7 linked regions of the Sus scrofa genome follow. Each later gene encodes a partner of the first gene's protein in a complex. Links are inferred from orthologs where the notes say so. Each region holds a gene or a part of one and is shown in the gene's direction. Other genes may lie near its edges.

Region 1 (4,282 bases):
AACTAATGTCTTATTGGGTTCCTACTTCTTACTATTAATTCATCTGCAAATTTACAGGTATCAAGCACCTACTGTGTGCTAGGAATTTTTTTTTTTTTAAGACGCCAGAGAGATAGCGGAAAACCAAAGTAAGTCCCAGTTCTCCTGGAGATGACACTCTAATGGGCACTTTACATACACTGGTTCACTTACTCCTTACAATAACCATATGAGGTAATGATGACAACAACAATAGATCAGTCTAAACAATGCATATCTGTGCCCAGCACTTGTCTACCTGCTTTCTTTGTATTAATTCAATTACCACAACAACCCTGTGAGGCAGGGGATATGTTTTCCTCATTTTACAGATGAGGAAACTGAGACAGAGAGGTAAGTGATTCTCTCAAGCTTCAAACCCAAGCAGTGGGGCTCTAACTCCCAGGCTGTTAGCCGCATGACTATATTGTTTCATTTACGTTTCGTTCGTAATATCACAACTTTCAAGCGGCTGAGTCCTATCGCAGATCTAACTCCCAGGCCCACGGGTTTGCGCTGCACCCCAGTGGCCTTGTAGAATAAAGGAGAAGATCTAGGAATTTTTGCAACACTTCTAAGGAATTCAAACGGATTTCAACGTAATTCCCAGATTTGTTATGTGAACCCTGTAAATTCCCCGGGAAGAAGTAAGATAGGGCCAGGGCCCTGGGTCATCTCACGGTGGCCGGGGCACCCAGCAGATGGCGCTATCTTAGTAGCCACCAGCTGGCTGCCCAGTCCCCCTGGGCTCACCGCCTCTGCTGAAAGCTTCCCGGCTCTCCTTCGCTCCCTTCTCTCTCCCCCTCCCCACGGAGCCCGGGCGCACGTGACCTCCAGGCGGCCAATGGGCGAGCAGAGAGGGCGAGCTGGTCCCTGTGGCCGCCATTAAAGCGAAGGGAAAACCCGTGAATTCGGATTAAAGGGGGAAAAACACCGCCCGCTGGGCCCACAAAATGGGGGAGACTACGGCGTCCCGGCGGTGAGGCCGCAGGAGAGCGGACGTTAGGCCGGCTTGGCCCAGGGACGACACGAAGACACAGCCAGAGAATGGTCTGAGCCCGCAGACGCCGCCACCACCTCCGCCACTGAGGAGACTCTGGGCTTAAGGACATCGCCGCTGCCGGGTCGGGGGCCTGGGCTTCTCTCCCGGTTCTCGCCCTTCCCGCCCCTCTGCGGGCGCCTCCCCGCCCGGGAGAGCCCTCCAGGGCCTGGGATCTGCCCTCTCGGACTCGATTTTAATTATTTATTGTGTAATTTATTATATTTTCTTGTGGCAGGGGCACACATCCCCTCTGTCCCCGAGAGGGACGGGCGTCCGCGGGCTCCGCGGCGGCCGCAGTCCGGCCCGCGGGGCGAGCGCGGCGCGGCCCTCCCGCCTCCGGCTCTCGGCCCCGGGCGGCTGGGTGCCGGCCGGGCGGCGGGGACTGCTCGCGGCGGCGGGGGGGTGGGTGGGGAGGGCGGGCGGCCCGGCGGCCTCCTCTTCCACCGCCCCCCAACCACCACCCCCCCGCCCTCCCCGGTGTCTGTGTTTCTCTCTCTGGTCGGAGGCGGCGGTAATGGCGGATGGTGGGTTGTGGCGCCGGCGACGGCTGCTGTGAGGGACGATGAGTTCCTCCTTCGTGCCGAACGGGGCCAGCCTGGAAGATTGTCACTGTAACCTCTTCTGCCTGGTGAGTGCGGGGCGGGGGCCACGGCGAGCGGGCGTTGGGGGAGGGGCCGCGAGGTGCGCCCTTGGGCCGTGGGGGAGGGGGTCCGGGTCGGTTCCAGATGCCGGAGTCCCCGGGCTAGGCCCAGCCGGAGCCGGAGCCGGCGCGGCGGCCAGCTCGGCACCAGCCCGGCGGCCGCGGTCCTCTCCGGCGGTCCCGGGCGCTGTGTTTCGAGTGTCGGCCCTTTTTCTCGTTTCTGACTCTTTTTCCCCCTCCTCTGGTAGTCTGGTCTTTAACTTGGGCTCCTTATCCGGCAGGACACTAGCCTTTCCCTCTGTTTCTTGCTTAACTGTTGCTCTCCTCCTCATGGACCGTGTATCCCTTCTTCACACTTACCCATTATTGCCCGTTCTCCTTCTGTCTCACTCTGCTCATCTGGTTTCCCCCCAAAAAGCGGACCCCGGAACTTAAGCACTCTTTTCGTTGTCCATTTTTTATTGTGAGTCAAACTATATAGGGGGGTTGGTTTCTTCCTTGCGCGACTTCAGGCTCTGTGTAAAAAGGAGTAGATGCCATTTCATATGTTTTTTCTTCAAACTTTGAAAACAACTTGCCATTTTGACAATTTTTAGCCATTTTGCTTTTATTAGAACATTATGTTTGTGAGAGTGGAGCGAACCAGAGGAGGAGGTGCTGTGGTTTTGCACTAAATATTTTTGTATTTGTCTAATTTGCCTTCGTTTTTAGCATATTTTGAGGGGGCTGTTCCTTTTTTTATTGGAAAGTCAGGGAAAGCTAGATTTAGGGATGATAATTGTGTACGTTGGCCCAGATCTGGGAACATCCAATAAAGACTTTCAAAAGTACCAACTGTTGCAAATATTTAGTTTTCAATTGGATAGTAACTTAGCTTCATCAGTGATTTAAAGTTTAGGTGACTTTCTTTTTTCATTTTCCCTATCCTATGAGAAATATTAAGAGAGTGTGTGATAGGTAAGTGAATTGAGTGGGCGGAGCACAACTAGTTGGCCAGTGTAAACTGCCAGTCATGTATCAGCAGTTTCATTTTTGGCACCTTGCGCTTTGCACCTTTAAGTTAGATTCAGAATTACAAGTTCGCTCTAATGAATTTCTTTTCACGATGCTAAACTGAGATCTTTAATTTTTATCTAAAAAATAAAATGTTTTCTTGTACAGTGTCCATTAATTTGCATCTCTTGAGCTGTAAGAAGACAGCGGGTTTTACATTTCTGTCTTCTCCAACTCAGTCTATTTTTGGTACTTTTAGGATCAGGTTCTTTGAAGATAAGACTAGCACAAATCTGACGGTTCTTTGTCAGCAGCTATTTGACTTTTCCTAAAAGGAATATGTAAAGATTTAACAAGATTTTTTTTTCAGTTGTAGTTCAGGTTTCTTTTCGTTAGAGCCATGACTTCTATAAACATGGAATGATGAGTCTTTAAAAATTAATTTTCTGTTATAAGTTTGTCACCAAGGAACAAATGTAACCAGTCAGAACAGAAGTTAGGACAGAGAGCAAATGTTTACTCAGTGTGCAATGTTAAAGTACATGTTTATGTTTAATATTAAGCTTCTTTTATTTCTCCTTGGGACACATTTATTGACTTGTTATTTAGTGACATGTCAGTGTTAATTTTTAAATTGTTTTTGTTCTTTTCCTTTGATTTTTGGTTATTGAATTATCAGAACTAATAAACATTTTTGGGGTCAATCTGCTTTCGATATCCTGAGCATACATTAAAAATTGTAATGACTTAATGAAGAGACTTTAAAGCAAGTGCTTTTGATTTTGAGTGAATATGCCCTAATAAAAAAATCATACTTTGTTTTCTTCAGGCTGACTTGACGGGAATTAAGTGGAAAAGATATGTATGGCAAGGCCCAACTTCTGCCCCTATTCTGTTTCCGGTGACAGAGGAAGACCCCATTTTGAGCAGTTTTAGTCGCTGCCTTAAGGCAGATGTGCTTGGTGTTTGGCGGCGAGATCAAAGACCTGGAAGAAGAGAATTGTGGATATTTTGGTGGGGTGAAGACCCCAATTTTGCTGACCTTATTCACCATGACTTGTCAGGTGAAAGCAACTTACATTTCTAACTAATGATGTAGCCATGTATACTCTTCCCAAAAACGTTTGTATTACAAATTAAGATTGAGGGGGGGTGGAACATTGTTGGGTATGAAACCAGATAAAATTTCAGCTTCATGTTTCATTTCACTGGTTATTTTATTTTACTCAGAATTATGCTTATTATGGCAGGCTTTTTAAGGCTTTAAAAACTTTATTCTTTATTCTTTTTAGCTTTCTCATGAATTTTTGGCAGACAGGGCCTAAGGAAGGCATGCTACATTAATTACCCTAAAAATGTAACCAGGGGAACATTACCTAACAAAGTCATAAAATACTTTTGAAGCCAAGTTTAATTCATCTTTGAGTCATTTCTGCCACTGCTTTCTTCTGTATGAATATGCAGACCGTTGTAGAAGTATCTAGAAGTGTTGTAATTTTCTCATATTTTTTTTTAGGCATATAGTAATTTTTTAAATTTGCAATTCTTAAAAAATTAACATATGAAGGCATTTGTTAATTTTGTTATCC
Region 2 (4,123 bases), on another chromosome or scaffold:
AGTCAAAAAGCCAAAAAACGAAAACAAAAAAAAAGTGAACATATTTCTTCAACAAATAAATTGATGTGTGTGGGGGGGGGGACTGAAATGGAGGAAGGAAACTATAGATTAAAAGATAATAGAAAGAGGAGTTCCCATTGTGGCTCAGCAGTTAATGAACCTGACTAGCATCTGTGAGGATGAAAGTTTGATCCCTGATCTTGCCCAGTGGGTTAAGGATCCAGCTTTGCCCTGAGCTCTGGTGTAGTTCACAGACGTGGCTTGGATCTTGCATTGCTGTGGCTGTGGTCTAGGTCAGCAGCTACAGTTCCAATTAGACCCCTAGCCTGGGAACCTCCATATGCCCTGGAGTGTGGCCCTAAAAAGCCAAAAAAAAAAAAAAAAAAAAAAAGATAATAAAAAGATACATCAGCTAGTCACAAAAGACTTCATTGCATCTTCAGACATTTGGTATTTTCATACTGATTTCATTGATGAAACTAAATCAAGTTATTAACTTATTTTTAAATGAGACAGTGGTTCTGTGGTTCAATGAAAACAACAATAAAACCCCCAAACAAGTCTTTATCTTTCAGAAATGCATACTGAACTGAAATAATGTCTATAGGTAGATAATTATTGAAATTGAAAGTAGAGACTATTCTCTACTTCTATATATGTTTGGAACGCTTCATAGTAAGTTTTAAAAACTGGAATAAAAAAATCTTTTTTTTTTTTTTTTTTTTTTTTTTGTCTTTCTGTCTTTTTAGGGCTGCACCCACTGCATATGGAGGTTTCCAGGCTAGGAGTCCAATTGGAGCTGTAGCTGCCAGCGTAAGCCAGGGCCACAGCAAGGCGGGATCCGAGCCGTGTCTTGGTAGCATGCTTTTTTGTAAGATTCCCACAAATTTAGAAATGTGTAGCACTTCTTGAAAGTCGCCTCCAGAAGAAACTCTTACATATCGTTTTGTTTTATGCTTGTTAATTTGTTGCCTGGAAATGTAACAGAATCTGAATACGTGAATAAAACTGAATGGACGGTGAAGAAATATAAATTAAGAATATGTTGCTTCCCAACCATTTTCACACATATTTCGAGATTAAGATTTCCATGTTCCAAATTATTTCCAGCATGTGGAGTCCAATCTCATTTCTTAAGGTTATTTTTAAAATTATTTATTTATGTATTTATTTAAATGTTGTTTTTGACAGTGGGGTAACATTTTTTTAAATGTAACGTTTAAAAATAGCTGCTTGTCTCTATTTTTTAAAGTTTATGTAAGGCATATGGATGCTTTAATTTTAAGCGTTAAAAAAAAACAGCAAAAAAAGAAACGACGCTACCACGTGCCACTGCTACTGATAGAAAAAGCACAAGAAAAGACTCCAACACCCCAAACCCTGCGGCTGCCGCCAAATCGCGGAAAGAGCGGGGAGAGAGGAGGTTATGCGCAGGCGCAATAGCGAGCCATCGGTCTGAGGCGGGACTAGAGCCTGGGTTAAAGGACAGCTCTTTCCGCCAGTCAAGAGACAGCACCAGTAGCTTCTTCCGGGAAGAGGAGGCCGGAAGTTGGACTTCGGCTGTGGTGGCGAAGGCGGTTACCAGTGTAAACCCAGTACCGAGGTGAGTGGGCGGCGACGACTTGGGGCTCGGTTCCGTCCGCTGCATTTCTCCTTCCGGACCCCGCCGCTTCCTCCCGGCGGGCTGGGAGTGGTGGGAGGCTTGGCGCATAGTGTGCTCGCCCACCTTCCTCTCCCGCGCCCTTCGGGGAGCGCGGCCTCCCCGACCCCCGCGGAGCCGCCGGGTAGAGCGCCTGGAGGAAGGTGCTCTCCGCGCAGTGGGCTGCGGGCTGCTTCCGAGTCGGGATCTCGAGCTGCGCCGGAGGTCCGGGGAGCTGAGTTCCAGTCGTGTGCCGCTGGTTTGTGTAGCCTCTGCAAGTCTCTTGGCCCCTCCGGCTTTATGAGATAACCAACCCTCCCTCGGGGATCAGTCCTCTAATCACATGAAATAGTGGGAGGCTGGGAAGGAGGTAGAACTATAGCCTCATCATCAGATCATCCAGAGAGGTTTTGAAGGCAGCTTTTAAGCGTCCCCCTTCACAGTAGAGAAGTGAGCAAAACCTCTGGGACTGGCACCCTGGAATACCTTTCTGTTTTAGTTAAGTCCTCCAAAACGAAACAGACACTGAAAGGTGGATCTTCAATCTGATCACCACCTGTGATGCCTGGCGCTGGTTTTACCAGAGACTTCCATCGCTTTTGACAAGTTCAGCTGAGAGAAGTGATGGAGAGAGAAACATAATTTCTGTAGTATATCAAGTTTTTTTTGTATTGTTAGGCTCTTGGTACTTCACTGATTTGAGAGAGCTTGATGGTGCAACAAAAAGGACCTAGATAAGAATTCCTGCTCTGCCATTTATTAGCTTTTTGATCTGGTTGCAGACACTCCCTCTCAATGAGACAGACTTGTAATTATCAGCTCTAAAATGAAATCGATAGTGGTATTAAACTCACAGAAATATTACGAAGCTTAAGTAAGGGAGGGTATAAAACAGTGATACTGGAGTTCCCGTCGTGGCGCAGCGGAGAGGAATCCGACCTGGAACCATGAGGTTGCGGGTTCGACTCCTGGCCCACTCAGTGGGTTAAGGATTTGGCCTTGTGGTGAGCCGTGGCATTGGCCGCCAGCGGTAGCTCGGAATTGACCCCTAGCCTGCTTCTGAAATTGGGAAACCTGCTTCTAAAATTGAGACGGCCACTCTGAGGGCACCGAGAGGAAGGGGAGTGTTCTGGGAGCCCCAGGTCCGGGATCCAGGGCCCACTGCATGGAAGGTGTTCTGATGTTTGTTGAATGATGGAATAGTTGAAATCTTAATAGTCTGTTAGATGGGAAGGATCCTTTTTAAAATTTGCTTTTAACGGTGCATTAGTCTGAATGTTTTCAAGCTTTTATTCACATTTCCATTTTCTTTGTCATCTTTTGCCTGTTTTTCTATTAATTTTTAAAAATATAGGTTAAAAACAACCACAACTCATTGAATCTTTATTGAGGATTTAGCACCTTCTAGGCATTGCTTGAAATACTGGAGGTACATTTTTGAATAAGACAGACAGTTCCTGAAGTCGTAGTGCTTTTCTTCTTGTGGGGATGGAGTCAGTAAAAAAATCAAAATTAAATTCCTAGTATTTGTCCTTTGTTAGCTTGCAAGCATTCTTCTCCCAGAAAAATGGGATTGTTTTTTAATTTCGTTTATGATATACTTTTCTATATGGTTTTTAGATTTGTTTTTGGTAGTCAGATCTGTTGGTCTTTTGTAGCACCCTTAAGCCGTGTAGTTATCTGTTGTCCATTTTCCTTGATAGATTTTTAAGCAACGCTAGGATGGAGGCAGTGTTTCTTAAGAGAGAGAATGGTGTAGTGTTTGACATTCTCAGACTCTGGATCCTTCCTTTACTCTGTGACTTTATAGAAGTGGGTCAACCTTTCTGAGCCACAGTGGTCTCATCTCCAAATTGGAAAGAGCACTTTTCTTTTCTTAGATTTCTCATAACCATGAGAAAAGTAATTAAGAACAGTGTCTGGCACATAGTATACACTACAAATATTATCTGTCATAATCATCATTATCATATATTAGACAAACAGTAAATGTTTGAAGGAATAAATGCATGTTAAAGATGTTTGTACCTACTTCCAAATTTCCACTGGTTTGGAACCCTTTTGAAATGAATGGAGCTACCAGCAAATATTTATGAAGCTTTTGTGCGCAATTGACACAGTGAGAGCTGTGATAGTTATAGTCCTTCCCCTTGTAGCTTATAGTCTGACTGGGGCAACAAATCAGATTCTGGTACAGAGAGTAAAAGAGGAAAGGAAGAATCTGTTTTTGATGAATAATCAGAGAAGTAATATCTTTAGAGGTGACAATTTTAAGCTAGTGCCTGAAGCAGGAAGAAAATCATATGGAAAGACCCAAAGGCAGGAGAGGTTGGTGTAAAGAATTGTATAAGAATACTGGAAAACATTTTTTCTAGGATAGAAGGGAAAAGGAATGTGGTGTGAGAGTTGGGTTGACTGGTATATAGAGAAGAATAGTAACGAATATGAAATAATCCCTGGTGAAGCCATTGTGTTCCAGGTAAG
Region 3 (3,500 bases), on another chromosome or scaffold:
GGCTGTTTTCTCTGCAGCTCTACTGTTTTCTCTCTGGTCCGTATAGAAGTGAATTAGCTCTCTTAACTTTCTCAAGGTTCTAGAGGCTATCTGTAATGTTCAGAATAAATTAAAACTATAGTTTTAGTAGACATGAGTACTTAAAAAATGAAAAGAATTATGTATGTAAATGTATCTTTGAAACAGTAGAGATTTTTTGTTGGATAAAAGGACTCTTAAGTTTCATTTTATTGTAGCAGCAAACAGTTTCAGATTCTGTGAAAAACGACAAGTTTAGCTCCTTTAAGGAGAAAAAAAAAAAAAACATGCCTCAACATTTACCATTTCCTCATTTCCACAGAAATATCCGGAGAAGCTCTATTTTGAGGGCCTGGCAGAGCAGGTTGATCCTCCTGTGCCGATCCAGTCTCCCTACCTGCCCATCTATTTTGGAAATGTGTGTCTCCGCTTCCTTCCAGTATTTGATATAGTAATCCACAGATTTTTAGAATTGCTCCCAGTATCCAAATCATTGGAGACTCTACTAGATCACCTGGGAGGCTTGTATAAATTTCATGGTGAGCTTTTTCAAATTTTAATTCCATCTAATAGCCCTGTAGACAAAAGTAGGCTGGTCATGACCAAATGGATAATGGTGATTCTAAAGGTTTTATTTTAATAATTTTAATATAAGTGTTTTGAGAGGAGGTATGTGTGATGATGCCATGAAATGTAAAATAAATGACATAAAAATATCAACAGATCAGAGCAAAAAAAAAAAAAAAGTAATATGCAAGAGAAGCCTTGTTGTATATATTGTGTGATTAATTTCCAAATCAGTACAGAAGGAAAAAAAATAAGTTCAGAACAGACTGGTGTTACTGTGAACTAAATAGATCTTAGTGGGCTTCTTGGATGGTTAGGGTTTGAACTATGATGTATGGGATTTATATAAATAGGAAGGAGAAGAGAACATACTAGGCAGAAAAAATCTTTTGGAAGAATCATGGAGATGTTAAAAACAAGGCATTTTGAAAACAGTCGTCTCGTTGGGCTAAATTGTACCTGATGGCAGATCACCGTAAATGCCAGGCTCAGAAGTTCTGATTTTATAACCTAAAGATAATCAAGCATTAACTAGAAGTTACTGAGTTAAGTCATGTCATAGTATTATTTTAGAAAGATAAATCTAGTCAGTTGTAATTCCAATATGGACAACTTGGAAGGAGGAAGTCATTTTAAAGACTTATAACAAGACATTCAGTTGTATTAGCATCTAAACAAGTATGATGGCCTTGAATGAGAAAGAAGGGACAGATAGTCAAGGAAGTAAGAATTGGGCTTGATTGACCAGTTATGGGGGGAATATCAAAAGAAAGCAAAGACAGCTCTATGATGTTTTAAGCTTGATAACTGGAGAATAGTGAAATCAGTGACAGAGTGTGGAAGTCTTGGAGTAGCCACTATGGGGACAGAGTGTTTATTTGGGGGGTAGTTCTTCTTAATCCTTGGTGTAAGAAGTCTTCCTCCAAAACAAATCTGAATTATGTTTTAGCACTGTAGAGTAAGTATGAAGTTCAAGGGAGCAGTCTTTTAAAAACACTTCTCTGGAGTTCCTTTCGTGGCTCAGCGGAAACAAATCTGAATAGCATCCATGAGGATGCAGGTTCAATCCTTGGCCTTGCTCAGTGGGTTAACGATCCAGCGTTGCTGTGGTGTAGGCCTGCATCTACAGCTCCAATGTGACCCCTAGCCTGTGAATTTCCGTATGCTGTGGGTACAGCCCTAAAAAGAAAAAAAATTTTAAAAATAAAAATACTTTTCTTTTGGATCGGATAATATATGCACATAATGAAGTGTAAAGTAGTTAGTCCCAAGCCTGTGCTCTAGTTCAGCAGTTTCTTTCTCTATAAGCAATTTCTGTTACCACTTTCTTGTGTATCGTACCATAAATATTGTGAGGTTGGTAGTCTTTTTCCCACAAATATGTAATACTACACATTGTTCTGCACCTTTTTTTTTTTTTAACCTTTCTAACCTTTCTAATGTATTGGGGTTGATAAATTTGTATCAGTACATACAAAGCTGCTTCTTATATGCGGTAATTAAGTTAACCTGTCCACTGTTTTTCACTCTTTAGGCTGTTTTGATCTTTTGCTGGTATAAGCAGGGCTTCAGCGACATTGCTTACATTTATGACATTTTTTGCAGAGTAAATTTCCAGAAGTGGAATTGTGACCTCAGAATGTGATAAATATCCTTCAATATAAGCTCTGTATATTGTTAGAAGCCTTTTGCCTTGTCCTAGGATAAAAACATTCATTGTATGCACTTGGCCAACATGTGAAGTAGTTTTCATAACCTTCTGAGCTATTTATTGGTAATCTTAAAAATAGAAGGTTATTTTTTCACAGTTGTCAGTAACCAGGTAAACATTGTAGTGACCTCTTTTCTTCTTGGCAGATCGTCCAGTAACTTATTTGTATAATACTCTGCACTATTATGAAATGCACCTGAGAAATCGTGAAAGTCTCAAACGAAAACTTGTCCATGCAATCATTGGGTCGCTCAAGGATAACCGACCACAGGGCTGGTGTCTAAGTGACACTTACCTGAAATGTGCTATGAACGCACGAGAAGACAATCCCTGGGTCCCCGATGACTCCTACTATTGCAAATTGATTGGCAGACTAGTAGATAATATCCTTTTTATTGTGCTTTTCCAGTCTCTGCAGAAATAACTGTATGTCGATATGTGTGAACATATGTTGTCTTTTTATATGTTCCAAGACTTCAGGTTTTTTAATGTTTTATGTTTTAATTTTTGCTTCTGTAAAGGTTTTGAAATCTTAAATTAGTAGCAGCATGCCATGTAGGTAGAAATTTACTCCACTAAAATTTATATTTAAAAAAATTTATATTTAAAAATTTATATTTCCGCCTTCATGGCTCAGCGGAAACGAATCTGACCATTAGCCATGAGAACGAGGAGGATTCGATCCCTGGCCTCGCTCAGTGGGTCAAGGATCCGGTGTTGCCGTGAGCTATGGTATAGGTTATAGACACAGCTCGAATCTTGCGTTGTTGTGGCTATGATGTAGGCCAGCGCTACGGGTCCAATTAGACCCCTAGCCTGGGAACCTCCATATGCTGTGGATGCAGCCCTAAAAAAAGAAAAAAGACCTTAGAGAAGAGATTTATTTCAAAGAAAAATATCCTATTCCTAAATAAATGTACTAAGTCTTGTAGTACATGCATCTATTCACCACCAGAGAACATAGAATTTTGTTGCTTTAAATAAAAACCTGAATTTTTTAAAGCATTAATAGATAGTAATAAAACTTCTTTTTCTTTTTTTTAGTGAGAAATTCTATATTGATATTTTTATTTCAAGTAATTAGCACATTGTATTTAATAGCACATTGTACACCATGCCACTATTTACTAGGTTTATTTTACTACACAAAGGAATTATTTCCTGAAGTAAAAGAATTACTTAGGCTAAAGAAATTTTCTTATTA
Region 4 (4,281 bases), on another chromosome or scaffold:
ATGGTTCCTAGTCGGATTCGTTCCTGCTGCTCCATAGTGGGAACTCTGAGGCCTCACATTCTTATAACATTTTCTCCATCCCTATAAATCATGAGTCTTGTCCAAGTTTTACCATATTGTTCACCCAATTCTTACCTATTCTTTTTTTTTTAATTTAATCCTACTTTTGAAATGTCAGATAAAATGTGGGTAATATTTTTTTTAAGTTTAAAAATGTAAATGAGTAAGACAGTATAAATTACAGCAGGGGAAACTGGAATTATAAATGACTGTATAGGAGTTCCCATCATGGCTCAGCAGAAATGAATCTAACTAGTACCCATGAGGATGCAGGTTCCATCCCCAGCCCCAGTCAGTGAGTTAAGGATCCAACATTGCCATGAACTGTGGTGTAGTTGCAGACTTGGCTTCGATCTGGCACAGCTGTGGCTGTAGCGTAGGCCAGGGGCTACAGCTCCGATTCAACCCTGGCCTGGGAACTTCTATATGCCTTGCTCGGTGAGTTGGGGGTCCAGGATTGCCATGAGCTGTGGTGTAGGTCACAGATGCGGCTCAGATCGCACATTGCTGTGGCTGTGGCATAGGTCAGCACCTGAAGCTCTGATTCAACCCCTAACCTGGGAACTTTCATATGCCAGGGTGCAGCCCTAAAAAGAAAAAAAAAAAAAAGATGTGTAGCAATTAAGAGGGTGGGTTCTGAAATCAGGCAGCTGCTTAAATTTGTACCCCAGTCTAAACTCCCTGGTGTGTTATTTCTTGATGCCTAAGTTTCTCCATTAGTAAAATTAAGTAATAATTATACTTGGGTTACAGGGCTGCTGTGAAGATCAAAAATTCCAATATTTTGTTCATTAAGGATTTTTTTTCCACATTAAATTCGTAAAAGATTGCATTACAATTTTTTGAATTGTTAGGAGTTTTGGTGCCCCTTAAATTTTTCGCTCCAGGGAGTGCCTCAACCACCATACTCTAGCTCCATTCTTTGCATTTTACATGCTTGACACACAAGCAACATTCAATAAATGAGCTGAATTTACTTATCTCCCAAAATTTTTGAATTGAGGTAAAATAAACACAGAAGAGTGAACAAATATCAAATGTATTGCTGAGTTCCCTAATTGTTCAGAACAGTCTGCTAAACAGTAAAAGATGTCTTTCCTTCTTATCTTCAGGTACTCAACCAAAAGAAGTTTTGGTTTTATGATCTCTTTTTTTCTTCAGCTCTCTTCCCCCGGCTCTCTTTTCCCCCTGTAAGTTCCAAAAGAATTCCTTGACAAAAACAACTCCAGGCCGTCACACTTGAAAAAAGGAAAATATTTTCCGGGAGGACTGCCTTTGATGTCAAGGTCCCCCTCACGCCCCGAGGAACGCGCTCAGGAAGGCCGCCCTCTTCCACGCAGAATCGCAGTTTGCGCATGCGCTTCTACTTGCCAGGCCGCAGAGATGATTTTTATGCCTTCCCGGCACCCTTACGTCGCAGAATGGTGATGTCAAGATTTGCGCGACGGAGACTTTTTGCCGGAAGTGGAGGGGAGAAAGTGTTGCACTCCACCGGGGGGTGGGGGTCTTCAAGTTCAGTGCTGGGGGCTAATTATCGCTAAAAAGCTCCGAGGTGCTCTGGTGGCTTCAGTTCCCTGCTTTGCCAGAAAAGGCTAGAACACGCGCGGAGGTGTGTTTTTGGTGTGAGTAGGCACGCGTCGATGGTGGGGTAGGAGGACCTCAATCGTCAGAAGAACTTCGCACTTCTGTCTGGCTCGCTTTCAAAGGCGTTTTGAACGCCTAGATTTTTGTCTGGTTTATCTCTGCCATGGACTTGCTCTGTATCCTTCCCTCCAACCCCCACCCAAAGTGTCAGTATCCTCATCTCCAAATTGAAGGGGAGTCACCTCTCAGTTCTATTATTTCACGGCTATTGTGTCATCTGAGCCACAAAGCCTTGGGGGTTAAATGTCGACCTCATTTTATAAGGAAGACATTGAATCCCAGGGTCAGCGGTTTGATGGCTTATTGCACAGGAAATTCTGAAACTGAAGGTTTCAGACCTTGAGACTGAAAGATTATAACTCCATGATCAGGCCTCCTTTGTGTATTTCTGTATCATCAATTCCTGAAACTGACTTATGGAAGTTGTTCAAAAAGTTCTGGATGAATGAATGAATCTTTTGATGTTAAGGCTAATGACCCAGGTAGATCTGGTGTCTCTCCATCTCTCTGATGTATTAACAAGCATAACTCTTTTCCAGGTGTGTCCTGTGCTTTATTTGACTGGGACTCTGAATCCGGTTCTGTTGCTTTCAACTTAAACAGATAGCATGGAGGCACCTCCAGTCACTATGATGCCTGTCACCGGGGGCACCATTAACATGATGGAGTACCTGCTGCAGGGTAAGTGAACTAGGGAGCTTAGATTACCTGATTTCCTCTTTTCTGTTCAGGTTCCATGGAGATGAAAGGCTAATATACAAAGGCTACATAATTTCTGGCACCTCTTTTTTTTTTTTTTTTCAATTTGGCTTTAATTATGGTCACAAACATATAGCATTAAACATTTTGAGCATAACATTTAGTAGTGTTAAATATGTTTGCATTGTTGTATAGCCAATCTCTAGAACTTTTTCATCTTGCAAAACTGAAACTCTGTACTCATTCTTCCTTTCCCCTCCCCCCAGCCCTTGGCAACAACTTTTCTACTTTCTTTTTTTTTTTTTCTTTTTTTATTTTCTTTTCTGCTGAACCTACGGCATATAGAAGTTCCCAGGCCAGGGATCGAACCCACACCACAGGAGCAGCTCTGGCAGCTACAATGACAACACAGGATGAGTAACCCACTGCACCACAGGAGAATTCCAAACCTTTCTACTTTCTGTTTCTAATTTTGACTACGTTAGATAACTTTATATGAGTGGAATCATATGGTATCTGTCTTTTTATGACTGGTTTATTTCACTTAGTATAATGTCCTCAGCGTTTACCCGTGTTATCACACGAGACAGGATCTCCTTTCTAAAGGCTGAATAATGTTCTATAGTATGTATATACCACATTTTCTTTATCTGTTCTTCTGTTGTTGGACATTCAGGTTGCTTCCACCTCTTGGTTAACATGGATAATGCAGTGAACATGTGTATGCAAATATCTCTTCCAAGATCCTGCTTTGAATTCTTTTGGTTAAATATCCAGAAGTGAAATTAATGGATCATATGATAATTTTATGATACTATTATTAATTCTTGTAGATCAGGAAATAGAATTGAAGTAACTTGCCCAGATGAGAAAGCTCAAAACTCAGTGTAATGATTTTCAGGAGGCCTTATAATGTTTCGCAAAAAAGTTTAGACTTTGAATTATCCATTTAAGAACTTAATATGGAAGTTCCCGTCATGGTGCAGTGGTTAATGAATCCGACTAGGAACCATGAGGTTGCAGGTTCGATCCCTGGCCTTGCTCAGCGGGTTAAGGATCTGGCGTCACCATGAGCTGTGGTGTAGGTTGCAGACACGGCTTGGATCCCACCGTTGCTGTGGCTCTGGCGTAGGCCGGCGGCTACAGCTCCTAGATTAGACCCCTAGCCTGGGAACTTCCATATGCTGGGGAGAGGCCCTAGAAAAGACAAAAAAAAAAAAAAAACTTAATATGAACGAAGTAGGGTTATTAACTTTCATTCTTCCAGCTGTCCCTCCTTCAGTCTTTTCCATCTTAGTAAGTGCCTGTCATTCACCAGTTGCTCAAGCTATGAATTCAGGAATCAATCTCCATTTTTTCACTTTATTCTCACCTATAGCTTATCTCTAGTTCTGTTTATTTTACTTCCAAAATATATATTAAATATGTCTTTTCTCCACATGCAATGGCTTGGTTTATCATCCTTTGAACTATTTTAGTAATTTTGTGCTTATTGCATTGCTTCCACTTTTGATCATCTGTCTCTTCTCACACAATAGTTCAACATCTTTTTTTGGGGGGAGGCAGTTTTTTAGGATCCTTAACCCACTGAGCGAGGCCAGGGATCGAACCCGCAACCTCATGCTTCCTAGTCAGATTCGTTAACCACTGCGCCACAACGGGAACTCCAGTTCAACATCTTTTTTAAAAAATGTTTTATTATTAAAAAATTCAGGGAGTTCCCGTCGTGGCGCAGTGGTTAACGAATCCGACTAGGAACCATGAGGTTGCGGGTTCGGTCCCTGCCCTTGCTCAGTGGGTTAACGATCCGCGTTGCCGTGAGCTGTGGTGTAGGTTGCAGACGCGGCTCGGATCCCGCGTTGCTGTGGCTCTGGCATA
Region 5 (3,500 bases), on another chromosome or scaffold:
TGATGTCAGTAGTGCCAAGGTTGAGAAACTGAGCTCTAAAGAACTGTTTTAAATGCGGAATTTGGAAGTTCTTGGTGGCCTAGCAGTTAAGAATCTGACATTGTCACTGCTGTGGTATAGGTTACAGTTTAATCAGAGCTGCAGCTGCTGGCCTATGCCACATCCACAGCAACGCTGGATCCTTAACCTGCTGAGCAGGGCCAGGAATCAAACCCACATCTTCATGGATACTAGTCAGGTTCAGAACCCACAGACCCATAATGGGAACTCCGTCCTAAGAACCTTCTACATGCTGCAGGCGAGGCCAAAAAATAAAATAAAATAATAAAATGCAGGATTTATACCCCTATTAAAATCTTTCAGTGCTCCTCCCAATTTCTGGATAAAATTCACACCTTCTTTTTACCATTTCTGCTCCCAATTCACATTTTTGGGTTTTTTTTTTTTGTTTTGTTTTTTGTTTTTTTGTCTTTTGTCTTTTGTCTTTTTAGGGCTGCACCTGTGGCATATGGAGGTTCCCAGGCTAGGGGTCTAATCAGAGCTGTTGCTGCTGGCCTATGCCACAGCAGCGCCAGTTCGAGCCGCGTCTGACCTACACCACAGCTCATGGCAACACCAGGTCGTTAACCCACTGAGCGAGGCCAGGGATCAAACCCGCAATCTGATGATTCCTGGTCGGATTCGTTTCCACTGCGCCACGACAGGAACTCCCCAGTTCACTTTTTTAAAAAGCTGACTCCTCTATCTTGTTAGTGGCACTTTCTGTATCACCTCAGTCTGGGTTTAGAATGTCTCCTCTGTTCCTAATTTACTTTATGTGTGACTTATGTCATTTTCCACTGTATTTTCATTACCTGTATTTATTTATTCATTCATTCATTCATTTTCCTTTTTGGCCATACCCATGGCATGTGGAAGTTCCAGGCCAGAGATCAAATCTGAGCTGCAGCTGTGACCTCCACCACAGCTGCAGCAACACCAGATCTTTAACCTTCTGCGCCAGGCCAGGGATCAAACCTGCTCTGCCACAGAGATAAGCCAGATTATTAACCAACTGTGCCACAGCTAGAACTCCCTAATTACATGTTTTTATAATTTGTCTTTTGATCTCAATCTGTCCTTGACCTAAGCCTTACTTTACAGCTTTGTTTAACATAGGGCAGCCAGTATGTAAGTTCATGTTTGAGTTGCTGTTTGCCTAGAATATCCTTCTTAGCAAAGTCTTATGGGTAACCAGACTAGGGACTATAACACTTAACAACTTTGTGTGGGATCACTATAGCCAGGCTGGTTGGGAGAATTATATTAGGTAAATTTATGATGTAGATTGTTGCCTCTGAGTCTTTCACTATCTTTGTTAGTTTATGTTGTAAATAATGTATATAATTACATTGTGTGGAGTATATTACTTTTTTTCCCCTCAGCTCTATTTGATTATAACATCAAACTCTGTGCTAGTGTGCCCAGTTTATACCTAACTTGATCTTATGTTAATAACTTTAAAAAACAGAGGGACTGCTACTTTTAATTGAAATACCAAAACATAGTCAGTGTTGTTGACATTTATCAGTGTTTTGATTGCTAAATTTTTGTTTCTTTTTGTCACATGGACTTTTGGGTGCATTTTCACCACTGCTTTGTACTGCTGTTCAGGGATCCTTTCCTGCTATAGTTCCTCAGTGGATTTTTTCCTCTCTGACATGCCCTGACTCTCAAGGCAACCGCACCATGACTAGCTCTCAGTGGGGAGAACTTTACTATATGTAGCCCAATAACTTTTCCTATATGTAAGATTAAATTAATAGGGTGATCACTGGTAACTGTTACATGAATCTATATAAATATTAAAAGGAATATAAGAAAATACACATAAAGTTTTAGGTGACTTTTAAAATCTTAAGTGAGTCCATGCATTCCATGTTTGCACTTAAAACATGGACCTTTGTCTCATTTTCTTTCCAGCCTGCCTGCATGTAGCCTGTGTTGTACAGCAGAAAGATGCCAGACAGTGGTTTGCTGAGCTTTCTGTGGACATGGAGAAGGTAATTTTTAAAGTTTCCTTGACTGAATGTAAACTTGAACATTTTAAAATTAATGTTATACTTACTTACCATGAGACTCAAATTTCATGATGTCAGCCAGGCTAAGAATATTTTTGGTAAAGAAACGCTAAGAAATATGTGACTATTTAGGTTATATTTCTCTTCAGTTTAGGCTTAAATAGAATGGTAAATTTAGGGTTTGATGGTTGCAAAGCAGCCTCTAATTGCCAGGATTATTTTATTTTATTTTATTTTATTTTAATTAAGTAATTAATTAATTGTCTTTTCTAGGGCTGCACCTGCAGCATATGGAAGTTCCCAGGCTAGGGGTCTAATCAGAGCTGTAGCAGCCAGCCTACACCACAGCCACAGCAGCTCAGAATCCAAGCCTCATTTGCAACCTATGCCACAGCTCAGGGCAACGCTGGATCCTTAACCCACCGAACAAGGCCAGGGATCTAACCCACAACCTCATGGTTCCTAGTCGGATTCGTTAACCACTGAGCCACGATGGGAACTCCAAGGATTATTTTAGCTCTGATTATATTTTGGCCGAGCCCTCAGCATGCAAAAATTCCCATGTCAGGGATCAAACCTGAGCCACAGCAGTAACAATGCATAATCCTTAGCTACCAGAGAACTCCTGGGACTGTTTTAAAAGCTGCCTGGTGACAAGTGACCTAGTGAATACTACTGTAAACTTTTGTAATACAGCCTATCTCCTGACAAAGTAGTTTTTGCCCTTTTTTCTACCTTTTTTGCTGAAATATTCTAGAATCAATCCAAGGTTAGGTCTACTCAGGTGAAGAAAGGGCAGATTTGGAAAGCAGATTTGAGAGATTTGTAGCTGCTGGTTTTTGAGCACCTTCACTCATGTGTAGCGTAGTTAATAGAGAATCAGAACAAAGTCTTTTGTGCACTACTGCCCACTAAATTATTTGAAATGATTGTTATTAGAGGAGTATACTCTGTAGTGGCATACTCTTCATAATCTAGACCTCTGTTCCTTAGTACCTCAATATTTTGGTTTGGTTTAAGATATCAATAGATAGAAGGAAACTAACTGCGGAGATGGATAAGGATAGACCAGGTATACATATTAAAGATGAGAGGTTAGGAGTAAAAGCCGAAATTGCTGTATGGTAAAAATAGTGCTTTCACATTTATCAGGATTGTCTAATCTAAGCTGAAGGACAGGGGCAATCTTTTCACTGTTTTCTGAGGGATATCTAATACGTGATATGTCTTCTTTATATACTAAGTGTTGCTTGATATTGCCGTAGAGAACTTTTCAAATATTTTCTTCTAGATTTTGGAAATAATCAGGGTTATTTTAAAACTGTATGAGCAGTGGAAGAATTTTGATGAGAGGAAAGAGATGGCAACTATCCTTAGTAAGATGCCGAAACCAAAACCTCCTCCAAACAGGTACTTTGTAGACTTTATATATTGATTTTA
Region 6 (4,057 bases), on another chromosome or scaffold:
CAATTAGAGGCAAAACTATAGATAACTACAGTTTGTTTTCAGTTTCTGATGATTTCAGCACCTCTGTCAACAACAAATCCAATAATAGTTATTGGGACTCACCGTGTTTCAGACAGTATTCTGAGACTGGGGCTAGGTCTTTGAGAAGTTCCAAGAGACTCTGCCCTCATGGAGTTTATATCCTAGTGGAGGAGACAATTAGCAGAGCACACATCAACTGACTTAGGTGAAATGTTAGAAGATGACAAATGCTGTAGGAAAAAATGAAGAGCTGGGTAAAGGTGGCGGAAGGTGGAGGTGAGACGGCAGTTGTAAACAAGGTGGCCAGGGTGGGGGTCCCGAAGAAAGTGCAGTTTGTGTCCCAAGAGCAGATGGCCTTGTGACTTTCTGGGGGGCAACCCATGAAGGCAGGGAGAACAGCAGTGCCAATGCCCTAAGGCAGGAGCGTCCTGGTGCTTGAGAACCAGAATGACTGGAGCCGAATGAATGAAGGGGTGTGACTACAGAAAGGCCAGAGGATGCTGGTGTTGGTAGCACAACAATATGAATATACCTAATTCCAGTGAATTGTACACTTACACACCATTAACACAGTAATTTTATGCTGAATGCATGTGACCACAGAAAAAAAAAATTAAAGAAAATAAGGATTACATTTCCTGTCCTAAAGAGCTCACAGCCTCCCTGAGAGCCCGAACAGAGGGTGGAAATAGCATTATGGGAACGCAGACTAAACAGCGATAAATCCGGTAGGTCCCCGGCCCATTGCTCAAAGACACTGACACAAGATGCAGGCCATTATGTAATTCCCACAAATGCCCTTGAGCAGGAGTTCCCACTGTGGCACAGCCCAACACTATTAGGGGCATCTCTGCAGCACTGGGACGCGGGTTTGATCCCCAGCTGGCACAGTGGGTTAAAGGATCCAGCGATTGGTAGGTCACAAATGTATCTGGGATTTGATCCTTGGCCCAGGAACTCCGTATGCCCGCGAGGCGGCCAAAAAAAAGGAAAAAACAAACAAACAAACTCCACTGAGCAGCTGCTTGAATAAGCTAAGGTGCTGGAAACCTGACCGCGTTGGGCCCCCAGTTCTGGGTTTGGCCCTCGCTCGCGGGTTGGACCCAAGAAGCCCTCACTAGCCCAGCAGATGGCGCCGGCGCCTGCAAGACACCTCCAGGCGCGCAGGGGGCGCTCTGGCCCAGGCTCTCTACCTCGCCTCTGTGACCCTTCCTTCCGCCCGCGGACCGACACTCTTCCTTAGAGCGCAGCTGCGCACGCGCCGGCTGTTAGTGTGTCGGGAGGATGGCGGCGTCTTCGAGCGGCGAGAAGGAGAAGGAGCGGTCGGGCGGCGGCGGTTTGGGAGCGGCGAGCGGCAACAGCACTCGCGAGCGGCTGCTTTCTGCGCTGGAAGACCTAGAGGTCTTGTCCAGGTGAGGCCGTCGCCTGGGGGCCTGGCTGGAGCTGGGCCGGGAGCATTGACTCAGGCTGGTTCCTGGGTCTCGGCGGGGAGGGCCGCACTCCGGGACTGCGGCGCGCGCTTCGGAGGCAGTGCGCGAGGGTCGTGGACGTAGGCCCGCAACCCTCGGGGACTCGCCGGCATTCCCGCCCCACCCCCATAGAGGACATTTTAATACTGCCAGTGACTCTGGAACCCCAGACTCTCAGAATCGTAGGGACCTTAGAGGTCGCCGGGAGAGTCGCTTCGTCCACCGGCCTTCGACAGACATGTAAGGAGCTCCTCCCGCCGGTCCCGCGCTGGGAGACGGTCCTGAGGGAGACTAGATACTGACGTAGACGAGCCCAGTGTCCGGGGTAGACAGACGTGTAAACAGTAACTGTGGCGCGGAGCCTGTTTGGATTGGAGGCTGCTGCAGCAGGGGCGCTAGGCGTCTGTCCCCCTTGTCGTCAGGGCAGGCTCCCTGGAGAAACGAATGCACTCTCTAGAGGAAGTTAATTCAGACTCTTTAGCTTAGAATGTCCAGCAAGGGCATTCATCCTGTTAATCCATCCTGTTGTCGCTGCACTTCTCAGCCCTCCAGTAATATCCTTTATTCCAGCCTCGGTGAACTGCTTCCCAGCTTCCTTTTCTTCAGTGCGTTTCCACTCCACCTCCAACCTGATTCATTTATCCTCCAGAATCCTGTTCAAGTGTCCCTTTTTCTGTAATCAACATTCTAAATCTTACTATATACAGGCACACCTTGTTACACTTTATTGCACTTTGCACATATTGCATTTTTTACAAATTGAAGGTTTGTGACAACCATGTGTCAATCAGGTCTGTTGGTACCATTTTTCCGTCAGCATTATTTTTAAATTAATGCTGTTTTCTTTAATGTATAATTGTTTTTTAGACATAATGCCATGGCACACTTAATAGACTACGGTATAGTGTAAACATAACTTTTATATGCACTGAAAAACCAAAAACTGAGTCACTTTATTGTGGTAGTCACATCATTGCATTGATGTGGAAAACTGAACCTGAAGTATCTCTGAGGTATGTCTGTAATTGTATTATCTGATCTACTAATAATTACATTTTTATCTTTGCTGTGAGTTCAGGCCTTGCCATACATGGCAAGCATTACTTACCAGATTCCTTGGTCAATGTGATACCAAATGATGTTTTAATATACTAAGTAACCTGATGCTAAAAATGTAAAAACACATAGACACCGGAAGTTAAATAGCTTATGTGTTTAATTCACTGTTTAGGCTATTAGATTGAAATACCTTGTAGTGACAAAAAGGACACGTGGAATTTTGGCGTCAGTACAGTGAACAAGGAACTCATGGGCATAAGACAGCAATCTTAATGTTTCCTCTGTGTAAATGTTCACACAGATTAATTCATGTGCTATTTCCTTCATGTTGATTCACTTCCTGGCTTGTGGAGAATTTGTCAGCTTCTTTAGTTAATCCTATCAGATGAATATCAGCATGATTTCTTAGTAAAAAGACCTTGGCGAGACTGAGTTCTCCGAGTATGAGGTTTTCAGTTAAATTATTCAAGTATCCGAGTTCCTGTCGTGACGCAGAGGAAAGGAATCTGACTATGAACCATGAGGTTGCGGGTTCGATCCCTGGCCTCCTCAGTGGGTTAAGGATCTGGTGTTGCCGTGAGCTGTGGTGTAGGTCGAATACATGGCTCAGATCCTGGTTGCTGTGGCTGTGGTGTAGGCCAGCGGCTACAGCTCTGATTCGACCCCTAGCCTGGGAACCTCCACATGCTGCAGGTGTGGCCCTAAAAAAACAAAAAATAAATAAATAGATAGGACCAACTGTCAGATGATGAGTGTAAAATTAGTCAAGTAAAAAATGTTCCTTATAATTTCTTCGTTTTGACCAACTATGTGATGTAGGTGGTAGCAATTAATTTTTCTATGAATATGTTGACTTTGTGAAGAAGTGATACCTCTTTTGGGAAGTAGTGGATGCTGGGTTTTGAGTAGAAATTGAAATTTGAAATATGATAATTTTAAATCTTTGCCTTGGTTTATTCGGTGAACTGTTACTTCTCACCCTTCTAATCTGGAACCCAGTAAATTCATTTCTTTTCTCTGCTTTACTTGCAGAGTAACCGTAGTATATATTTCATATTCACCAAGTTCAGGAACTGTTTCTAAACCTGCCCTTCCAGGATAACGGTCTTTGAGAATGTCTCTTGACACTGAACAACCCTGAAGTCAAATCTTTCCATCTTGCCTCTGGATTGATTGGCTCCTGGGTTGGGTATCTGAGGTGTGTTTACCTGATGCCCTCAGTACCTGGAGGAGTGCATATCCACATTTGATTCCTGATTTTTGAGTGTAGCATTATCTGTTTGATAAAGTGTATTTACCTACTGAAGTTTTGGATCTTCATTTAGATTTTCCTCAAGAACCTCAGTGTTTCAGAAACTTCTTCAGCTTTCCTGTTGCATCACTTGGGGTGCTGAGTTCTTCTGAAGTTCTTCTGTTTCCCATTGTCCACAAATGCCAAAAAGGCTTGGATTTCTCGTTAATTTGTATTCCTCATTGTAATCACCAGTACTACAGGATCTAGCCTCTGT
Region 7 (3,289 bases), about 14 Mb from region 1:
AGTGAGGCCGGGGGTCGAATCTGAGTCCTCATGGATGCTAGTTGGGTTCGTTAACCATTGAGCCACGATGGGAACTCCTCTGTGGTGATGCCTTTTTTTTTTCTTTTTTTGTCTTTTCACACCCATACCTGCAGCATATGGAGGTTCCCAGGCTAGGGGTCTAATTGGAGCTGTAGCCTCGACCTACACCACAGCCACAGCAACGCGGGATCCGAGCTGTGTCTGCGACCTACACTACAGCTCACCCCCCTGGCAACACCGGATCCTTAACCCACTGAGCGAGGCCAGGGATCAAACCCGCAACCTCATGGTTCCTAGTCGGATTTGTTAGCCACTGTGCCACAACGGGACCTCCTGTGGTGATATTCTTGATTCCATCATTCTCTGTTCATTTATTAGTTGGAATTCACTTGAAGGAACGTTTCCTTGTTTCTGATTTCTTTCTTCATTTTAAAAGGTTAAATCAATATGGATTCTTTATCTTGTGGATTGTAATTTTTTATTTTCTTATGCTAGTGATCCCAGATGTAGCCAGTGGGAACCCCTTCAAATTGGCTCTTGAGGACTTTTGACATAGCCGCCTAATCTTTAGAGCATTTTCCTTTCTGGCACTACATATATTCCAGGCTCATCTTGTTCTTTCCCTGTGTTAGCTATGCCAACAAACCCTGGATAATGCTATTTAAAACCCACGACCTGGATACTCAGTGTACTCTTGGTACTGGAGTGCCATTGCTTCTAGGCCTTCTCTGCACGTAAAGCAAGGAACAGTGTGTGTGTGTGTGTGTGTGTGTGTGTGTGTGTGTGTGTGTGTGTGTGTGTCTATGTGTCTATTTCTGTATCTGTCTCTATATGTTAAAAGCCACTCAGTTCATACTGATGTTTTCAATTCCAGCTCAACAACAGGATTCTTTCTAGCCTCCCCCCTTCCTTATCTGAGATTCCTTTCCTGAGAGCTGGATATTTGGCTATTTACAGTGTACATACTTATGTATTTGCTCAATCTTAGCATATATGTACATAATTTCAAAATTGTTATATCCCTATGGAAAACTAGGATACAATATTTGTGCATAGTTCTTTCTGAAACTGACTCACTTTTAAAATAAAAGCTGTCTTTTTATCATTATTTATGGAAAACCAATAGGTGTTAATTAAACCCACAATTACTAAAATAAATAGTGTTCATGTTTATCACCTTGAAAACCACTGGAATAGAATAGCATGATTTGCCCCCAAATGTTGACTGTTTACCAGTTATTGTGTAGTCTTAGGCAAGTTATTTAATCTTTCTAAATTTAAGTTTGCTCACTTTTGAAAATTTTGCTGGCTTTTGATGATAAGCTTTTCTGTATAAGCAAAAAAAAAAAAAAAAGAACTGTACTATCAAGATAGACTAAGTTAATGTTAGGTTGCAGGATCATCTGGTATGGTAACACAAATGATACCGTAGAAATGGTAGGCTGCAGGATCGTTTTTGAATAACAACTAGAGCATGGTGTTATTGACTTAATTATGTTGATAATTAACTTATAAACTTAACCCCAGGTACCCTCAGTGTTTACACATGTTAGAACTGCTCCAATATGAACACTTCCGCAAGGAGCTGGTGAATGCTCAATGTGCAAAATTCATTGATGAGCAGCAAATTCTGCATTGGCAGCACTATTCCCGGAAGCGGATGCGCCTTCAGCAAGCCCTGGCAGAGCAGCAACAGCAAAATAACACATCAGGAAAGTGAAAAGCTGATCCAGACCAGGCTCTTACGACATGTATATATTGCTTTTGTACATGAAGACAGAAAAAGACTCTTGCTCCGAACCTTTATTGTGACAGCACCCAGAACCGATAGTGTGCTATTTAATTGAACTAATTTTTTATTCTCAATAGATTATTTCTTTTAAACTAGAATTGTTCTTTCTCTGTGGATCTGTAAGCTTTCATTAGTATTTAATAGTCAACTGACTAAGAGTAGAAATGTTAGGTGCTTCAGACCAATTTTAGAGTTGGGGAGCTGGGGCAAGGGGAGAGCCACCAAATATCCCAAAGTTTAAGCAAAACTGTTCATGATGAACAGTGGGACCAGGGGCAAATCTGTCTCTAGGAACCTTGCTGTCCCCTCAGATCAGCTACGGCACCCTTCTAAGGAGTGAGAGAAGTGGAATCAGTGACCTCTACACATCAAAGCAGGAACTGCATAAATTTCCTACATTCTGCAGGGCAGGAGGCATACCTGGAGCACCAGCTACTTTGCAGGAGAGCCTTAAGGGAGAATTGAGGTCAGGGAGTGTTTGTGGTTAATTACTAATAGGACTCTCGACCTTAGACTATAACAAAGGTGAGGTGCCTCAGATACTTGTGCTCATTTGGGAAAGCTAACTTTTTTTTTTTGGCAGATACCACAAACCAGGCACTATGTTAAGTGCTTAGTTGCATTCTCATTTTATCCTTAGAACAGTCCTTGTTCATAAAGGAGAACACTTAGGTGTAGACAAGTTAGGAACCTTGCCTGTGGTTACACAGCTAGTAGGTGATAGTCAGTGAGACTGGCTAAAAGGCTAGGTTATATGGCCTCCCACCACTAGGTTGTATGGCTTCTGACCTCTCCGCCACCTGCCTCATCCCGCACAATCAGACAGCTGTAAAACAAAAGCAGGGGCTGGATTAGATGTGCCTTGCTATCCTTCAGTGGTTAGATTAAGTTCTACATTCTAAAGCCAAAGATGTTTTAGGATAACAGTTCTTTTGTAAGTTCATGGAATTTAAAGTAAAAGATCCTAACTTCTTTAGAAGTCTGGAAACTATCTTCTTCACTATCAGCGGCTTTTAGATATTTCTGCCCATCTCCAATAATATCCTCCCCTTTGGGCTACTACTGCTACTCCTGAAGACTTAGTTTATCCTTAGTTCAAACATATCCATATATTAAAGCAGACTAAGGGTTCATGAGCATTTTAATTGTACTCTCTATTATTTAGACATACACAGTTTTTCTTTTAATCATCATTTATTTATTGCTAACATGAATTCAAAGCAAGTGTGCAGTTTCTTTTATACTAGAGCAAATCAGGAAATCAAGACACAATTGCCATCATCAAATCTTACTCTTCAGAGAACAACATCTCCACGAGGTTGGTCTGAAGACACTCAGATTCTACCAGTTTTTGAGGCTGTAAAAGAAGAACAGTCTTATTTTAACCCATCACTACAAAAATGTTATTAGGAGGGGAATGAGTTCTGCCTTGAATGACACAGATCTTGGAACAGAAATTATCAACTAGTTGTAACA

Evidence for each region.
Region 2: MED13 (region 1) and MED7 share a complex: the UniProt entries of both Homo sapiens proteins name them as parts of the mediator complex. The link is inferred for Sus scrofa from reciprocal best matches to the Homo sapiens genes MED13 and MED7.
Region 3: MED13 (region 1) and MED23 share a complex: the UniProt entries of both Homo sapiens proteins name them as parts of the mediator complex. The link is inferred for Sus scrofa from reciprocal best matches to the Homo sapiens genes MED13 and MED23.
Region 4: MED13 (region 1) and MED18 share a complex: the UniProt entries of both Homo sapiens proteins name them as parts of the mediator complex. The link is inferred for Sus scrofa from reciprocal best matches to the Homo sapiens genes MED13 and MED18.
Region 5: the proteins of MED13 (region 1) and CCNC are in contact, whole or in part, in a cryo-EM structure (PDB 8TQC), measured with the Homo sapiens proteins. The link is inferred for Sus scrofa from reciprocal best matches to the Homo sapiens genes MED13 and CCNC. Residues at the interface, in NP_005112.2 of Homo sapiens: Tyr1342, Ser1630, His1631, Val1732, Lys1733, Thr1734, Thr1736, Phe1738, Gly1739, Pro1740, Gly1741, Ala1743, Arg1897, Met1898, Ile1901, Asp1905; in NP_005181.2 of Homo sapiens: Gln7, Gln13, Trp14, Leu16, Gln19, Lys23, Gln26, Lys27, Arg75, Tyr76, Glu144, Leu145, Asp147, Cys148, Ser221.
Region 6: MED13 (region 1) and MED4 share a complex: the UniProt entries of both Homo sapiens proteins name them as parts of the mediator complex. The link is inferred for Sus scrofa from reciprocal best matches to the Homo sapiens genes MED13 and MED4.
Region 7: MED13 (region 1) and MED31 share a complex: the UniProt entries of both Homo sapiens proteins name them as parts of the mediator complex. The link is inferred for Sus scrofa from reciprocal best matches to the Homo sapiens genes MED13 and MED31.

Annotation. Positions count from the first base shown.
Region 1 is NC_010454.4:36,332,259-36,336,540, forward strand, and holds the start of MED13 (mediator of RNA polymerase II transcription subunit 13), read left to right. Parts: upstream 1-1,482; 5' UTR 1,483-1,622; coding exon 1,623-1,688; intron 1,689-3,522; coding exon 3,523-3,757; intron 3,758-4,282. UniProt on the Homo sapiens protein: Component of the Mediator complex, a coactivator involved in the regulated transcription of nearly all RNA polymerase II-dependent genes.
Region 2 is NC_010458.4:66,113,273-66,117,395, forward strand, and holds the start of MED7 (mediator of RNA polymerase II transcription subunit 7), read left to right. Parts: upstream 1-1,323; 5' UTR 1,324-1,603; exon of another isoform or gene 1,604-1,898; intron 1,899-4,123. UniProt on the Homo sapiens protein: Component of the Mediator complex, a coactivator involved in the regulated transcription of nearly all RNA polymerase II-dependent genes.
Region 3 is NC_010443.5:31,991,207-31,994,706, forward strand, and holds part of MED23 (mediator of RNA polymerase II transcription subunit 23), read left to right. Parts: intron 1-340; coding exon 341-557; intron 558-2,442; coding exon 2,443-2,679; intron 2,680-3,500. UniProt on the Homo sapiens protein: Required for transcriptional activation subsequent to the assembly of the pre-initiation complex. Component of the Mediator complex, a coactivator involved in the regulated transcription of nearly all RNA polymerase II-dependent genes.
Region 4 is NC_010448.4:85,382,604-85,386,884, forward strand, and holds the start of MED18 (mediator of RNA polymerase II transcription subunit 18), read left to right. Parts: upstream 1-1,481; 5' UTR 1,482-1,682; intron 1,683-2,243; 5' UTR 2,244-2,312; coding exon 2,313-2,385; intron 2,386-4,281. UniProt on the Homo sapiens protein: Component of the Mediator complex, a coactivator involved in the regulated transcription of nearly all RNA polymerase II-dependent genes.
Region 5 is NC_010443.5:66,475,755-66,479,254, reverse strand, and holds part of CCNC (cyclin-C), read left to right. Parts: intron 1-1,962; coding exon 1,963-2,042; intron 2,043-3,351; coding exon 3,352-3,470; intron 3,471-3,500. UniProt on the Homo sapiens protein: Component of the Mediator complex, a coactivator involved in regulated gene transcription of nearly all RNA polymerase II-dependent genes.
Region 6 is NC_010453.5:19,550,601-19,554,657, forward strand, and holds the start of MED4 (mediator of RNA polymerase II transcription subunit 4), read left to right. Parts: upstream 1-1,257; 5' UTR 1,258-1,305; coding exon 1,306-1,433; intron 1,434-4,057. UniProt on the Homo sapiens protein: Component of the Mediator complex, a coactivator involved in the regulated transcription of nearly all RNA polymerase II-dependent genes.
Region 7 is NC_010454.4:50,731,681-50,734,969, forward strand, and holds the end of MED31 (mediator of RNA polymerase II transcription subunit 31), read left to right. Parts: intron 1-1,548; coding exon 1,549-1,741; 3' UTR 1,742-2,789; downstream 2,790-3,289. Other genes in the region: TXNDC17 (thioredoxin domain-containing protein 17), read right to left, coding at 3,102-3,170. UniProt on the Homo sapiens protein: Component of the Mediator complex, a coactivator involved in the regulated transcription of nearly all RNA polymerase II-dependent genes.